Linked DNA regions of Rattus norvegicus. The protein of the gene in region 3 purifies or fractionates together with the protein of the main gene of each other region. This does not show direct contact. Links are inferred from orthologs where the notes say so. Each region holds a gene or a part of one and is shown on either strand. Other genes may lie near its edges.

Region 1 (4,088 bases), on a different chromosome or scaffold from region 3:
AGCCAGAACTAGAGACCTTGTCTCACAAAAGGGTGGTGGGGAGGGGGCAAAACAAAACAAAATTTTCTTCTGTTGCTGGGATAAAACATAAAATACTTCGACAAAGGGCAGCTTAGGGGAGAAAGAGCTATTTCAGTTTGCAATTCCTGGTCACTGTCCATCAGGGTAGGGAAATCAAGGCAAGGAGGTCGCCAGAGTAGACCAGAAAGAAGGAATCCATGTGTGTTTGCTTCCTTGTGCAGCCTGCCTCTCCACTCTTTTTTTTTTCTTTTCTTTTCTTTTTTTCGGAGCTGGGGACCGAACCCAGGGCCTTGTGCTTGCTAGGCAAGTGCTCTACCGCTGAGCTAAATCCCCAGCCCCCTGCCTCTCCACTCTTACACAGTTCCGGACCCCCAGACTAGGGAATGGCGCCTCCCACAATGGACTGGGTCTTCCTGTATCAGTTAATGCATTCTCCCACATCCACATCTACAGGCCAACCCAATGTAGACTGTTCCTCACTGTAATTCTAGGTAGATAAGGTAGCAAAATTGACAAGGTAACAACCATCATCACCAAAACAAAACTGGAAGGCAAAGTCAGAAAGGTCACAGATGGCTACACTTCACTCTGACAGCAGCAGAGGACCACAGGTGTCAGTGAGAAGGGAGGAGACTTTAGTCTGCCAGTCAAATATTGAAGGGCAAAATACTGTTGAGCATCTAAAATGAAACGAGAAGCTGAGGGTGGTGTCTCAGGCCTGAAATCCAAGCACTCCTGGAGACAGACCCCAGAGGTTGGGTCAAGTTTGAAGACAGCCTGGGCTACAAGTGTGAGACCAAACAAAGGTCAGTAAAATGCTTGCTGCCAAGCATGAGGACCTGCATTCCATCCTTAGAATCCACATAGTGGAAGGGCACTTGGCTCTTTCTGACCTCTATATGCTCATCCACGCACAAATACACGCAAAAATAAATGCAATATTTTTTAATTAAAAAAAAAAAAAAAAACAGACAAGAATCGCCTGGAGTCAGCAGTAACAACACGAGGATTCTGAATAGGCTTTGAGGTTTCTCCGTTGCTGGGCAAACGGTTCCCAGGGCGATGTTGTTAGGGTCTAGGGGCGTTCCCAACAGTCACGCCTCGTAGCCAACCACACGCGAGCATCTGTCGCGTCGACCACGCCTACATCTTGCCCCCCCCCCCACAGTTCCAGAACCGTTACCTCAGCAACTGTCCCGGCTCCTCCCGCCTCCGCGTCTGGGTGCCAATCGTAGAGGCGTCACCCGGACGACGACCCTACCCCTTCCGGTGCCAGCCCTGCAACTTCCGGCTGGGGGGTCGGGCGGTGGGCGGTCTGGCTGCGGCGCAGCCCGGGGGGCGGCCAAGATGGCGGCGGGCGGCGCGGAGGGCGGCCCGGGCCCCAGCGCCGCCATGGGTGACTGCGCGGAGATCAAGTCGCAGTTTCGCACCCGCGAGGGCTTCTACAAGCTGCTTCCCGGCGATGCGACGCGCAGGTCCGGCCCGACCTCCGCTCAGACCCCGGCGCCGCCTCAGCCCACTCAGCCCCCGCCAGGGCCCGCCTCAGCCTCCGGGCCTGGCGCCGCAGGTCCCGCATCGTCCCCGCCGCCCGCTGGCCCTGGGCCCGGGCCCGCGCTGCCCGCTGTCCGCCTCAGCCTGGTGCGCCTAGGCGACCCCGATGGCACTGGGGAGCCGCCCTCCACGCCCTCGGGATTGGGCGCGGGAGGAGACCGCGTCTGCTTCAACCTGGGCCGTGAGCTTTACTTTTATCCCGGCTGCTGCCGCCGCGGGAGCCAACGGGTGAGTGAGTGCTCCGCTTTGTGGGGACTTGGGTGCCGATAGCATCGGGGTCCCAGAATGACAGAAGGACCCGAGGTTGGGCATCCCAGGGGAACCTGGATTCTGGAGCTAATGGAGTCAGTCCTAAGAGGTTGCAGGGCAATCTTTGCGTGGGGGTTCTTGGGGGTGGTAAGTTAGTGTTCAGGATGTGATGGGGCTTCTGGGAGGAAATGGGGGAGGGGGCCACGGATTCTGAGGTGACAGGCATTCTGCAGGCAATGGGGAATCCTAGGAGGATGCAGGCCGGGGTGGGGGTTGGGGGGATGGAGAACAGAGAAGTACATACTGCATTCTGGGCCTGTTGGGGGGAGACTTAAGACTTGTCATACCCAGGAGTGACAGGATTTGTAAGTGATGGAAGTCTTACGGACAAAAGGCAGGGAGGACTTGGTGTGTAGCAAAGTAACAGGTGAATGTGCTCCAAAGAATATGATGTCTAATGGCTTTGGAAGAACTGATGGGAGTTTTGAATTGATGGGGTTCCTGGCCGGGGACATCCCCAGGTGTGACAGACATCTGTAAAGCAATCCTAGAAGGGGGGGGGGCAAAGTGAGGGAGTAGAGGAGACAGAGATGGGGATTTTGAGAATGCAGTGGTGATTGTGTACCCCAAATATGAGGGGTTGTAATGACTGATGGCTGTCTGAACTATGACAGAAGTCCTGGAGTTTAGGGACTCCAGATTGAACAAAATGTGAGTTTTGAAAGCATGAGGACCTGAGTTTGGATCCCTGTACCCCATGTAAAAGGCTGCTGCTGTGTGAGTCTGTAACCCAAATTTGGAGAGCACAGAGGCAGAAGGACCCTGGTTTTACTGGCAGCTAGTCTAGCTGAATTGGTGAGCTCCAGGTTGAGTGAGAGACCCTGTGTCAAATGTAAGATGCAAAGCCACAGAGAAAGATGCTCAATGTTGGCCTCTGACCTCTACATCCACATACATAACGCACAACGACCACACAGGTGTATATACTACATGTACATGTAGAAAATAATGAAAGAAATCCTAAGGTGTTGGAATTTTTGAGTCCTTGGATCTTGGAGGTCTTAGAATATTGTCCTCCTGGAGCTGCTACTGTGATGGTGGCAGGGAAGGATGGTGGAGTCAGCTCCAGGCCAGGGGACTCTGATCCCTGACACTGTGGGCAAGTGTCCCTAAATTACAATGGAAAGGCTCTGTGGTCTTTCCTGGGTAGTGTGTGATTGTGTGCATGTGAGCATGTGTGTGCTGTCCTTCTGGGTTGAGAGGAATCCCCTCCCAGCCTGTGGTTGCCTGTTCCTCCCCACCCACCTCCCCACTTCCCTCGAGGTTAACCCTGCTTCCTCTTGGTGGTTTTCCCTGACCTCAGCTCCCTCTTCCTTCCTCTCCCCGCTCTAACCCATTAACTCGTCTTCTCCCATGGTTCAAGTCCATTGATCTCAACAAGCCCATCGACAAGAGGATCTACAAGGGGACCCAGCCCACCTGCCACGACTTCAACCAGTTCACAGCTGCCACAGAGACCATTTCCCTGCTGGTGGGCTTCTCTGCCGGCCAGGTGCAGTATCTGGACCTCATCAAGAAAGACACCAGCAAGCTATTCAATGAAGAGGTGATTGAGGACTTGAACTGTTCCTTTCTCATTATCTATCCTGCACTAAACTGCCTGGAAATAGAGTAGGCTTGAGAGGGGCAGGATGAAGGGGAGAGGAACGAATGACTGACAGCCATGACAGCCATTGATGTCACCATTGTGTGTACAATCTATCAGTTTTCTGCTGAGCCAGCCCTATGCTGAAAGAATGCTTTACTGCTTGGGTTCTTATCTTCTGATGCATAAGAAAATATGGTGCCCATCTCACAGATTAGAAGACTGAGGCTCATAGTCACTTGGGATGTTTTGATATTCTCTCTAGTTTCAAATTCTGGGCTCTTTGGGCTTTGGATTCTAGTTCCTCCTATATTACTGACTTACTGTGTGGTTTTGGAAAAGTGTGTTGTCTGAGCCTTAGTTTTCTTAGGATTTGTGTCCTCTTATTCACAAGGACTGCTTGGTTGGGCTAGCCTGGCTTCAAAGGAGCCCGGAGACCTTAGAAGCAGCAGGGAGGGCCTTGTGCTCTGTCATACTGACTCTGGTCCAGGGGAGGTGAGCCACAAATGTTCTCAGAATAAGCAAGTGGCTGAAGGGCGTGAAGCAGCAGAGCAATGGGTGCATTAGAGACTCACATGCCCGTTCACAGCACAGTGGTCCCTCCTGTGCAAGTCTCTATCCA
Region 2 (4,115 bases), on a different chromosome or scaffold from region 3:
ATGCAACACACACACAACATGCACATAAAAGCAATTTCAAAACATTTATTTTGATAAAAATATAAAACTATTCTTAAAGAAAAAACAAATAATATTCACAGTGTAGATTCCCTATAACTTCCTGTCATCCATCTCCTGATTGATTAAACTAAACCATAACCTCAAAATCATAGGAAACATCTGAAAACCTTTTGAGCTTGAGTCAGTAACTTGAGAAAGTTCTAGAACTCTGACATACACTCTATGTTGCTCAGGCTAGCCTTCGCCCCTGAGGCTTAAGTATGATCTCATGTCAGCCTTCGTAATAGCTGAGGCCACAGGTATGAGTCCAGAGCCTTGGTTTAGGAGTGTATTTAGAATAAGGTGTTCCAGTGTCCTATGGTCCTTGATGAAGTCTGGATAAATTATGTTGGCTCAGTTATGTCAGGCTTTTTATGAAGACCTTCTTATGAAAAGTTGAGAATAATGTTCATGATTTGGGTGTAAGTATAAAGGAATAAAAAGTCTGTTTCTTTGTTTTGTTTTACAAGACAGGGTTTCCCTCTGTATCCCTGGCTATCCTGGAACTCTGTAGACTAGGCTGTCCTGGAACTCAGGGATCTGCCTGCCTCTGCTTCCCAAGTCCTAAGACTAAAGACATGCACCACCTTTTATAACTTTTTTTGATGCTTAGGCTGAGGAATAAAACCAGAGAATTTGGACACTGGAAGCTGACCGCCGAGCTACACTCCTAACCCAGAGCCATACCCCTAGGCTAGAGAAGTCTTTACAAACATCCCCAGAGAAACACATGTAGGCAAACATGACATTCTTCAAGGTTCAGAGCATCTTCTGCTCACCTCTGTACTCTTTATAGGCTACCCCTGAGAGAGGGAACCACTCAGTAACTCCAGAGAACCTCCTGCTAGTAGAACACAGAGACCTGTTTCCATGACCATTCTGCTTATTCACGAGGACCTGTCAACCACTGCAGGAAACAGAAAGGCCTTCCAGAAAGGCTTTCATGGCAAGAGCTCAGAACTGACCAAGAATCAAGACTGACCAACCACTGGAGACTTTCGAATAATCCCAACACGGGAACTTAGGGAGCTAGGGAAAGGCAGTCTTCAATAAAGATTTTCATTCATACAATTTGCCACTCCAACATGACCCAAAAACGTTAAAATAAAAGGTTTTTGAAAATTTGCTCATCTCTTGCATACCAAAAGACATTTGATATCAAAACTACTTCCTCATAAGTGAGGCCTACAGAACTTTTGTTTTTATTGAATCCACTCACAATTTACAGTTTGCTATTGGCTCTGAATGATTACACTTCGATTTATGCTAGAGTAAATTCCAATGTGGGTAACAGTTATGAAGTAATCTAAAATTAACTATGCACTAAAACTGGGAGGTGCTAGAAAATAATATTTAAGTCTTGGTTTCATGAATTCACTGAGTGCAACAAATCCACTTTCCTGCCGTTCCCCATTTTTGTGCTACTCTACTAATAATCTTAATAAAAGGAAATATCACTCAACCACAATCTCATTTAATCACTAATCACTTAATGTTTGCTTTTAACATTAAGCATCTTCGATGTCTGGCATACTGTTTTTGAAACACAATGAATCTCAATTTTCTCTCTCTTCCTCTTTGGCAAGTTTAGATCCTGCTCCTCTAGTGCTCCAGAGGAATTCCATTCCACTATTCCACTTCGTTTATATACTGAACCTACGGACAAATGTCTCTGCACTATTTCAGAGGTTAGTAGAGAACTCCACCCAGTTAGCCACCCTTTAACCATCTCTGGTGACCTCGCCTCACCTTCTGCATTCTTCCTGCATAGAAACTTCTTGTCATCACTCACCTTCAAGGCTTCACTCCCCTTCCCCCTGCATCTGTTTTCCTATCCTCCTATTCCCCCATTCTACCAAAAAGCCCCGCTTAAGCTGCCTGTTGCATAACGGCTCCCCCACTGCCTTCTCCCCGGATTGTCAGCCAAGCAGGAGTGCCCCTTCGGGCTCTGCTCCTCCCCGCCCCCCAACCCCTGCAACACGCCCAGCGGGTTCTCAGGCAGCAGATCCTCGGGGGCTGTCCCCAAGCGGGAAGCTCCGGGTGTCGCGTCTTGGAGCTGAGAGCCGGTTCGGAACTCGGTAGCCAGTCCCGAGGGCAGCGTGGCCGCTCTCGCCGGCGCAGCCCGCGCACACCGCAGCGCCTGGCCAATCGCCGCCGCCATCCTCCGGCTGGGGTGATGTCTTCAGGTGTCCGCCGAACCCTGCGTACTCGCCGCCTGACTCCCGCCAGGCGCGGCCCGCCCTTGGAGCCCCTCGGAACCGGTCCCAGGGCCCCGGGCTAGGCCCAGCGAAACGACGGCGGTCCGGGGGATGTGGGGAGGAAGGAGGGTGGGGGCAGCGGCTGCCTGAAGGCGTGGGCCTGCCGGGCGGCGGTCAGGGATGGACAGCGCCGCGGACCCAGGCGGCCGAGGCCCGGGCGGGGGCGCGGCACGGAGGCCCACAGCAGGCCCGTGGCGGCTCGGCCAAGTGCAAGCGGCCCAGGGACGCAGGGCGGGGGTCGCCCGCTGCCTCGGGCAGCTAGGCGAAGGCGGCCACGGCCCTCTTGCTTCCTCCCTCTCCCTGCCGACTCACCTTTAGGACCCGAATACCTCCGGGCCGGCGAGGCGCCGCCGCTTCAGGTGGCTCCGGGGGCTCCAGCGAGCCCGCGGGCACGGGCTCCACCTCCCCCATTGGCGGCCAAGGCTTTACAGAGACGCTCGGCCGGCGCGACAGCGAGAGCCTCGGAGGCGCGCGCGAGCAGCGGGAGGCCTCGCCCCTCCGCCTAGACCCCGCCCCTAACTAAGACGCTCTGCCTCCTTCAGCCCCGCCCCTGGCCCCTCTGGACCTGCGTAGTCGTGGGCCTGGCTAGAGGCCGGAGCAGAATTGTGGGAGGCTGGCGCCACTGCAGGTTGAGCCTCCGTTGCCCTGAGCTCAGAGGACTAGAGCAATTTGGTTCTTTTTGAGTCCTCCAAGGAGCGGCCAGAGGAAGAGACAGGTAAGGCCTGCACCTGTAAGATAGACAAGATACAACCCTTCACCACGGGCGGCGCTGGAATTCTCCATCCAAGACGTTTCCTGCTCCCAAAGGTGCTCCCCCCACCTCCCCGGCACCCACTGGCGGTGAAAGAACTGTTGTTTATACTCACCTCTTAGGATAGCTGGCGACCTTCTTCATCAAACAATAAGCTGTCCAGCCACACTTCGGTGTCCTTTTCCTGTAATCAAAGTACCAGATTTCCTTTCTCGTTCTTAAACAGTAACGTGGTGTGTAAGCCCCTCTTTCTAGTTTGCAAGGCTTAATTCAGCAAAGAATGTTTTAAAAGTTCCTGGAGTGATAGTAGTTTTGTGGTTAGTGGGCCAAATTATGAGTTTGCCTAATTCCAAATCTCAGTTGTACTCATTCTTAGATCTATACTTGTACAAATTACTTGATCTCTGATTTTTTTTTTCTTTTGAGACAGAAAATTACATGTAACCCAGGCACACCCAAACTCACTATATACCCAACACTGGCCTTGAACTTTTAGATTCTCCTGTCTCCCCGTTCAAAGTGCAGACGTGCACCACTCTGCCCAGCTCTAGTGGCTCTTCCGTTATCTTAACGGAACACGTGTATGCCTGTGACAGAGGCCTGAAGAGGGTGTCAGATCCTCTGGACCAGGAGTTACAGATGGTTATAAGTTGCCAGGTGAGCGCTGGGAGTTGAACCTGGGTCCTCTGGAAGAGCAACCAGTGCTCTGAACCACTGAGCCATCTCTCCAGAGCCTTGCCTTGGTTTCTTTTTTTTTTTTTTTTTTTTTTCTTTTTGGTTCTTTTTTTTTTTTTTTTTTTCGGAGCTGGGGACCGAACCCAGGGCCTTGCGCTTCCTAGGCAAGCGCTCTACCACTGAGCTAAATCCCCAACCCCCTTGCCTTGGTTTCTAAGGGGTGAATGAACTAGAGTAACATCTGCCTGGCAATTATCAAGGTGCCGTGGGCAAAACACACAGAACCTAACTCATATTAAAGACTCATAGTAGCCACCGTAATTCTGAAATGCTAGATTTCCCAAAAGGTGATTATGAGCATTAAACTGCTC
Region 3 (4,097 bases):
GTAAAAAAAATGAAAATAAAATTTTGGTAGAATGACTCATCGTGAGCAGACATATTAATCCTTCTACACACTGAAAAATACAGTATCCACGTGACTCCCCCCTTCAGTCAGTAGTGTTCGTCTTCTATTTCCACCCCAGGTCCTAGAAGAATTACCAATGGATGGCTCTCACATGTTATGTATAAAACTCTGCGCCCTCCTCCCCACCACCAGTATGTTACTCTTGGCTACATAAAGATGTCTTCAATTATATTAATTTCTCTCCTAATTTAATTTCCCACAAAATACATTGGTTCAGGAATTTATCACGTTTCACATGCACAGCTTCCCTGCAAAAACCATGGGACGGCAGACGCACAGTTATTCCCCATGTTTGAAATGGACCTTTTCAATTCTCATGAATGTATCCTTCAAGCGGTGTACAATGTGCACCCTGAGCCTGCAGTTTTGGCCTCTGTGGGAATGTGTGAAAACTCAAACAGCACCCAATCTCACAAAACTGAGATCAGGAGCTCCCTGGATGGAGGATACAAAAGTTTTGTTTTGGTATTTCCTGGACAGCCTCTAGCACCGCCCAGAACCTGGCCATTTCCTCTGTACCTTCTAATGTCACAAATCTCCCGAGTGGGGCTTTCCTAGACCCGGAATACTTTCCTTTCTGGGAACCCTTTCCCAAGCAGCTGGGTTACTGCTGGTCAGGGCTCTCTGGCCACGCCCATGTCCTGGTCTCATTTTACTTTTTGGGTTCCGGTGGATGCCATCTGGCTAGAACCCTGGAGAGAAACTTTAAAGTTGGACTAGGGTTACCCTTACTCCCTTACACCCGTACTCATCAGCTCCCCTAGCTAATCTCTAAAAGCCCTGACTGGTTGGAGACCACCAGGAACAGGCAGAGGGAAATCGGGAAACGAGCATGCCTGTGTCCCCCTGGTGTAGGTCCCCAGCCTACGATCGGCCAGGGTCCAGTGTCCTGGGTCCAGTGTGAAGGCCGCGGTGCTGGGTTCGTTGGGGACTGACCTAGCGATGCAGCTGGCACGGAGCGGTACCCCAGGGCAGGGGAGCAAGAACAGCTTTCAGCCGGGTTGGGCGACCGAGTCCTGGCGGACACGGGAACGTAGGAGCGGCCCGGTTCGGCGCCTCCCGGCTCTGGGCTCCTCCTCCCGCCGGCCGCGGCCCCGGCTGCGTCGCTCCGCCACTCCCCGCCCCGCGCCGCCGCCCCGCCCTCGCCGCCGCCCGGCCTCGCTCGCCCAACCCCACTGCAAGCCGGCCCCAGGCCGCCTCGCCGCCACCCGGCCTCGCTGCGCGCCACCATGGACAGTCCCGTTTTCCCCTGGTAAAGATGGCGGTGCGCGATCGCTGCAACCTTTAGACTAATGACTGTCCGAAACATCGCCTCCATCTGTAATATGGTGAGTGGCCGCCGAGCCTCCGGGGGTCGCGCCCGCAGCGAGCCAGGCAAAGAAAGGGAACCCCGGGCTGGAGCTGCTCGCGCGCCGCGGTCGTGGGGGCCGCGCGGTCAGAAGTTCCCGGCTCTGAGGCTGGGCCAGCTGACCGCAGTCCCCCGCCTCTGTCCCAGCCGGGGACCCTGAAGGGATCCCAGGGATCCCCAGGGCAGCCCCATGCCCCCGCCCTCGAGTTGTGGTGCGGGCGGTGGGTGGGGGTGGAGGGTGCGAGGTGCCGCACACCGCTGTCCCGAGGGAGGACCATGAGGGTGCAAGCCTGGAGTGGGAGGAAGTAGATCCTCCTGGTGCAGTAAATAAACCCTTCCTGGACTCACGGACTGTCCTCTGCTCCTTTTTGGAGTTCAGCCTCGATTGTATTTAAGATTCACTTTGCAATAGCAGTGTTCTTACCAGGAGAAATCGGATAGACATAAAAAAATCCAAGTGAAGAATCTGGCTAGAGAAGCGAACTAAAACCTGGAAAGCACAGCAATTTGTTCTGGAGGCCTCAGTTTCCCCACCTGCATGCAGGAGATTGTAAGGCGGCAGTTAACGTTTGCAGGCCCTAGGAGTGAGGTGACTGTGGGTGTGAGGAAGTCTGCAGGGGTCATCCTGCCCCGCCTCCTCTCCATTTAGCTTGGGCACTGCCTCGCCTGTCTGAGGGGGGCGGGTGGGGGGGCGGGGAGTGTTACCCAGCGGTCACTTTAATTTGGAGTCCCCCCCCCCCCCAACTACCTTCCCGTTCTGTTTAGTTTCCTAGGGACCAGTTCCAACCTTTGGGTCCCCTGAGCGTACTCAGCTGGCACCCCCACTTGTGAGAGCCTCAGGGAGGTCAGTTTGGGGTCAGCATTACCTTTGGTGTGGGGCTTGAGGGTGTGTGCTCTGCCTGTACTCTCTGGATCCTCCTCTCCCTCCCGCTTCGAGCCCCTCCAAACTGGAACACTGCTGGCTGTTGGGTTTTGTTTGTTTGTTTTTGCCATTTTGGAGAACACCCTGCCACCAAGTTAGATAGTCATCCTAGCATACAAAGGGAATCTGAGGAGGTCTGATTAAGTAGGCCTTAGGTAAGGTGATCTGGCTGCCCTTCCCCCATCACACAGCTCTTTAAATCTTCTGTCCCACATTCTGTTGCAAGATCAACACATGGCACAGAGCATGAAGGAGCCATGTGTTAGCTCAGGTGGAGTTGAGACCTGCTGGGGCTGGCTCCAGCTTTCTGCGCTGGTCGCCAAGAGTGATGGTAACTGCCGGCTTGGTACAGGTCTCCTTAGATGACGGGGCCTGTCACCTTGCCATCTCCCCTTTCTGCTTGAAGACACAGGTTTCCTGCTTCTTCCTGTCCGGTGACATTAACGTGGCTGGATGCCCTGAGAAGACAGTGCATTTCTTCTCCGTGTCTCCGCCGTAACCAAGCTCATGTGGAGAACTAGGATACCACAGTAGTTTCAATGCTGTATCTCCTGCCTGTGGGGGTGGCCGCAGGCCTACAGCCTCCCGGGGGCTCAGTGCCTGCTCCTGGTTCTGCTCTTGTCCGGTTTGCTTTCAATGACACCTCTCAGTATTGAAGCCGAGTGGAAACCGGAGAGCAAGCCTGTCCCAAGAGGAAGTCTGCCTCCGGCTTGTTCTTGTCCTTACTGTGGCTAGGACTTCTTGGCACACCTGGACAGAATGTCACAACCTGTTTTCAGTGACACTCAGCCAGGGAGACAGGCTTCTGGGAGGACAGGAGAGGAATGGGCCAATATTGTGTCAGTAGAATAAACACTTCTGGTGACCAAGTTAATTCTCACCCACCCCACCCACCCACCCCATGTCCAATTGTGAAGTAAACCTAATATGTTTCTGTGTAGACACTGTCTTGGGCAAATGGAGAAATGTTTGCATTCTAATGTGAGACTCTAGGTTCGCTCCTGTTTTTGTACTTATTTGTGGGGCTCCTTAGCCCAGGTAGACCTCCAGCATGACATCGCCTGTAAGCACTAGATGACAGACAGAGGTGTTCTGCTCCATCCAGCTTTCAAGTCCCACCTCCAACACCGCTGCCTCGTGCCCTTGAGCACTTTGATAGTCTTTGCCTCAGCTTTCATTTGTAAAAATGGGCCCATAATGGCTGCAACCCAGGGGGGAGTTCCTGGGGTTCTGGGCCCGGTACGTGATAACTTCTCAGTGAGTGGCAGCGGCTGTGGTCAGTACCTTCTTTCTCTTACCTTCCAGTCTGTTTTAGGGGCTGTGAGAATTTGTCTTCTTCTCCTACTTGAGTATAAACAACCCATTGGGTCACTTAGGCAGAGCAAGCTGAATGACTCTGTGGAGGAGCTGGGGTGGGAACTGGAAATCCCGCCCCTTATAAAAGCCGCTCAGGTCACTTCTGCCCCTCCCATTGGCATTTCCCAGAGGAGCAGGCTGGTGCTCAGGAGACTGCTGTCTGTCTGTGCACAGCGGGATAAAGCCTTACTTGAGCATGAACTGTTTCCAGGTAGGTGTCTTCCGAGTCTCTCTGTCACTGGGTTTCTCGCTGAGCCTCTTTCTTGAGCTTTACAACTTTCTCCCTTTGCCCCAGCTGGTATGAGGAGCGGGGAGTACAGGCTGGGACCGCTTGTTTGCTTGTCGTTTGCTTATATTTATTTACTTGACACTGGGTGGCTCACAACCCGG
Region 4 (4,069 bases), on a different chromosome or scaffold from region 3:
CATCCCTCTTCAACAAAAATGTGTAGCTAACCTAAAACCAAGCTGCCTTGATAGGAATTTCAGTTCTCTCTCTCCTACCAAAGTTTTCTAAAATTAAGGCAGGCTCTGGATAGTATGTAACCCAAAGCCTCGAAAGTGAGTATCTACCTATGTAAAGCTACTATGAGGGTGGCAACTCAATGCACGACGTTTATCAAATATTTCAAATAGTTAATTGCCTCAAACCAGCTTGTTTCAACCAATAAAAAGTAAGTTTATAGATCATACATTGCAACAGTAAGAACTCACACAACATAGTTAAAGCCTAGGTGGTGAGCAGTTTGAGGAAGTATGGAGATCAGACTATACCGAGAAACCTTGTCTCATTCACCCTCTACCCAGCCCCGAGTGTGGAAAGAAAAATCCTGAAAGGACTAAGAGAAAGCAAGTCCCACAATGTCTCCATTCTAATATTTCTCCCTTCGTCTACTGTTTTCTGTTATGTAAGCTTTTACCAACAGGATACAAGGCCCCAAGTCCTTAGCTATTTCTGTCCTAATATGGGAGGGAGTAGATGGGCTTAATTTGAGTGCTTTACAGGAAGCACGTTCAACTATCTTCTAAAGAAGAATTTCCAAACACTGCTAGTTTTCATGGACCATGAAAAAAGTGCGGAAAAAGGAAGACCGGGCCAGCGATCCTGTGAACTGTGTATTTTTGTCTCATTCAAAGGCCTTACCTAGAGTTTAGAGTCCCTGAAAGCTCTCAATCTCAATTAGCCAGGAAAATAAAACTCATCTGGCAAACGGTAGAGAAGCGAGTTAATGAAAAACGTTCACAGGACACAGAGTTCAACAGCAGAGGGCACAATACCCACTAGCTAGGGCCAGAAGCTGGAAGAGAGGGAGGGCAGAATCTGACGATATCTGGGTCTTGTAGTTCGCTATTGGTCTCCATTGGAGGCTCGCCCAGGAGATGAACTACAACCCCCACTGTGCAACGCGAGCCCCTCTCGCCAGCTCTCGTCTATGGCGAGGACAAACCTCCTGGGAAACAGTTCTGCCCCACCCCCATACGCACGCGTCACGTTTGTTTACCCTGAGGCCCCGCCCCCAGCCTCCCGCTCTCCCCAGAAATGTCGTCATGCTAACGATGCATATTCATGAGCAACTCCGCCCCGCCACCGCCCGCCTTCCCGCGCTTCATTAATATTCATGAGTGAGGTCGGGCCGCAGCTCCGGGGAGCTCAGGCTGACGGGCAGCGGGCGGGGCCTGGCGCTGGGGAGCCCCGGACCAGCGGGGAGGGTGTGTGTGGGGGGGGCGGTGGCGGCGAAACGGGCGGGCGGCGCGCGGGATGGAACACCGAGACACCGACGGAATGCTCCGGATCGCCACATAATCCTCTGGAACAGCCGCGCCGAACGCCATCGGCGTCTCCGTTCTCCGCGCGCCGCTGCCGCCGCCGTCTCCCACCTTCGCCTCACCTCCTCCTCCTCCGCTGCCTCCGGAGCTGGGGGGGCGACGTGAAACCCCGCTACGATGGAGCCCGCCGCCGCAGCCCCGGCACAGCGACTCGCGGACCCCACGGGTGAGGACCGAGCCCCGGCGGCGGCGGCGGCGGCCGAGGGCGGACGGAGTCCGGATTCTGTGCTGAGCGCGGCGGCCCCGAGCGGCGGGAACGGCGGCGCGGCGCGAGAGGAGGCCCCCTGCGAGGCGCCGCCGGGGCCGCTGCCCGGCCGCGCGGGAGGCACCGGACGCAGGCGTCGGCGCGGGGTGCCCCAGCCCGCGGCCGGCGGGGCCGCCCCGGTGACCGCGGCCGGCGGCGGCGCCAACTCGCTGCTGCTGAGGAGAGGGCGGCTGAAGAGGAATCTGTCGGCCGCCGCTTCGTCGTCCTCATCGCCGTCCTCGGCGTCTTCGGCCGCTGGCGGCCTCCCGGCGTCCTGCTCGGCCTCGGCGTCGCTGTGCACCCGGAGTCTGGACAGGAAGACGCTGCTCCAGAAGCACCGGCAGCTGCTTCAGCTGCAGCCGTCGGACCGGGACTGGGTGAGGCACCAGCTCCAGCGGGGCTGTGTGCACGTCTTTGACCGCCACATGGCCTCGTCCTACCTGCGCCCAGTGCTCTGCACGCTGGACACCACAGCCGCCGAGGTGGCCGCCCGGCTTCTGCAGCTGGGCCACAAAGGCGGCGGGGTGGTGAAGGTGCTGGGCCACGGGCCACCTCCGGCCGCTGCCCCGGCCGCCAGCGATCAGACCCCGGCCACAGAGCTCGGAAGAGACGTGGAGCCACCGCCCTCGAGCAGCACGGTCGGTGCTGTCCGGGGCCCTGCGCGCGCGCCTCCTGCCGATCTGCCGCTGCCCGGGGGCGCCTGGACGCGCTGTGCACCTCGGGTCAACCCTGCGCCCTCGGACTCCAGCCCCGGAGAGCTGTTCGCGGGCGGCCCCTGTTCCCCGTCCCGCGCCCCGCGCCCGGCCTCCGACACCGAGAGCTTCAGCCTGAGCCCCAGCGCCGAGAGCGTGTCAGACCGGCTGGACCCCTATAGCAGCGGCGGCGGCTCCTCCTCTTCGTCCGAGGAACTAGAAGCTGACCCGGCCACGGTCTTGACGGGGCCTTCCGGGCCGCCCCACCACCCAGTCCGCTCCTCACAGCCTCGACCGCCTTCCCCGAAGACCTCGGCGTTACTGCAGCCGAAAGCCCCGACGGGCGTAGACGGCACTGGCCTAGTGGTGGGCGAAGGTCCCGGAGACGACAAGGCGGTGGCAGCTGCAGCTCCAGGCGTTCCTCTGTGGACTCCAGGGAGGATCCGGGAGACCGTGCAAAAGACGTCTTCTCCGCCCTCCCTGTATGTACAGCTCCATGGGGAGACTACCCGGCGCCTGGAGGCGGACGAGAAGCCATTGCAGATCCAAAATGACTACCTCTTCCAACTGGGATTTGGGGAGCTGTGGAGGGTGCAGGAGGAAGGCATGGATTCGGAGATTGGCTGCCTCATCCGATTCTATGCAGGTAAGGAAGTTGCATGCATGTTTCTGTATAGCGGCTTCGAACCCTGGCCCGGACCGATAAATGATTCGAGGGGCCTGGTGAGTCTGGCAGTCTTTTCTAGCTGGTTCACATGCTGTTTGTGCAAGTACTAAATTCAGTATTCTTTAAATCTGCACTTTTTAGTGTCCAGGTCTGAGGTTGGAAAGCCGGGTGGACGAGGTGGCAAAGTCACCTGGAAATACAGGAAACACCTAAGAGGGGTACGGGTCCTTAACTGTAAAGGTGGTTTCCTCCAGGCCTCTGCTCTCGTTGGGTTGCAGGCGGTTTGGGATTCCAGGTAACACATTAATATAGACAGAGGACAATGACCAACGGAAAGTGTTCCATGATGCCTTCCCTATTCAGCTGTCCACAGTTTACCATTCATAGACAAGGCAGTGTGTGTGGGCCTCTGGGGCTGTGCTCTTGTCAACTGATGCTCCTGTTCCACCGTCTGCCACGCTTCTTTGCTCACTGAGTTCTTGTAGACACCCGAGAAGTGTGTGTGTATGTTTGTTGTTTTGAGTGTTGCTCACCTTCGGCGTTTTTAATTACTTTATTTCACTTTCCAAGTTTGAATCTTGCATAAAAGATGAGTTGGCCTGCTTCTGTCTTGCAGCCTTTATTGTCAGAACTGCGACAGGACTTGAAACAGACTAGACTTAGTAATGTCGGTGATTACTGCCTCTGATGTGACCTGAACTCTAGCAGTATTTTAGTATCTGTTCAAGTGCTTGTCCAGGGGTGACCAGTCAGTTTCTCCCTTGCCTGGAGTCTTGGCTGGAACTAAGTCGTGGAGTTACATGGCTACTGGGTATTGTTTTTGAGCTTTGTAAGCTACTCGAACTCTGGTTGAAAGGGATTTTAGTGGTCAGAACTTCTGTTTGAAATAAGGTTAGCTTAGGAGAATTAAGACTTTCAGTTTTATATTGTAGGTGCATATACTAACAACCCATGATGCCCACAGAGCTTCTTCCACAGCTAGAGGTTTTTAGTCCAGCATGTGTCCTAGTTGCAGTTTAATTTGAATGAATTGGTCTTTAACACCCACATTGATATATGCAAGAC

What was found.
Region 1: the proteins of Usp46 (region 3) and Dmwd purify together in Homo sapiens (affinity purification with mass spectrometry; 5 studies listed by BioGRID and IntAct, counting the BioPlex papers as one, with this or other methods). This does not show direct contact. The link is inferred for Rattus norvegicus from reciprocal best matches to the Homo sapiens genes USP46 and DMWD.
Region 2: the proteins of Usp46 (region 3) and Phlpp2 purify together in Homo sapiens (affinity purification with mass spectrometry; 4 studies listed by BioGRID and IntAct, counting the BioPlex papers as one, with this or other methods). This does not show direct contact. The link is inferred for Rattus norvegicus from reciprocal best matches to the Homo sapiens genes USP46 and PHLPP2.
Region 4: the proteins of Usp46 (region 3) and Phlpp1 purify together in Homo sapiens (affinity purification with mass spectrometry; 7 studies listed by BioGRID and IntAct, counting the BioPlex papers as one, with this or other methods). This does not show direct contact. The link is inferred for Rattus norvegicus from reciprocal best matches to the Homo sapiens genes USP46 and PHLPP1.

The regions. Positions count from the first base shown.
Region 1 is NC_086019.1:87,849,253-87,853,340, forward strand, and holds the start of Dmwd (dystrophia myotonica WD repeat-containing protein), read left to right. Parts: upstream 1-1,288; 5' UTR 1,289-1,368; coding exon 1,369-1,800; intron 1,801-3,244; coding exon 3,245-3,427; intron 3,428-4,088. UniProt on the Homo sapiens protein: Regulator of the deubiquitinating USP12/DMWD/WDR48 complex. Functions as a cofactor that promotes USP12 enzymatic activity.
Region 2 is NC_086037.1:54,743,266-54,747,380, reverse strand, and holds the start of Phlpp2 (PH domain leucine-rich repeat-containing protein phosphatase 2), read right to left. Parts: upstream 2,801-4,115; 5' UTR 2,730-2,800; coding exon 2,631-2,729; intron 1-2,630. UniProt on the Homo sapiens protein: Protein phosphatase involved in regulation of Akt and PKC signaling.
Region 3 is NC_086032.1:34,502,853-34,506,949, forward strand, and holds the start of Usp46 (ubiquitin carboxyl-terminal hydrolase 46), read left to right. Parts: upstream 1-1,297; 5' UTR 1,298-1,373; coding exon 1,374-1,409; intron 1,410-3,738; exon of another isoform or gene 3,739-3,903; coding exon of another isoform or gene 3,904-3,918; intron 3,919-4,097. UniProt on the Homo sapiens protein: Deubiquitinating enzyme that plays a role in behavior, possibly by regulating GABA action. May act by mediating the deubiquitination of GAD1/GAD67.
Region 4 is NC_086031.1:22,821,863-22,825,931, forward strand, and holds the start of Phlpp1 (PH domain leucine-rich repeat protein phosphatase 1), read left to right. Parts: upstream 1-1,269; 5' UTR 1,270-1,518; coding exon 1,519-2,983; intron 2,984-4,069. UniProt on the Homo sapiens protein: Protein phosphatase involved in regulation of Akt and PKC signaling.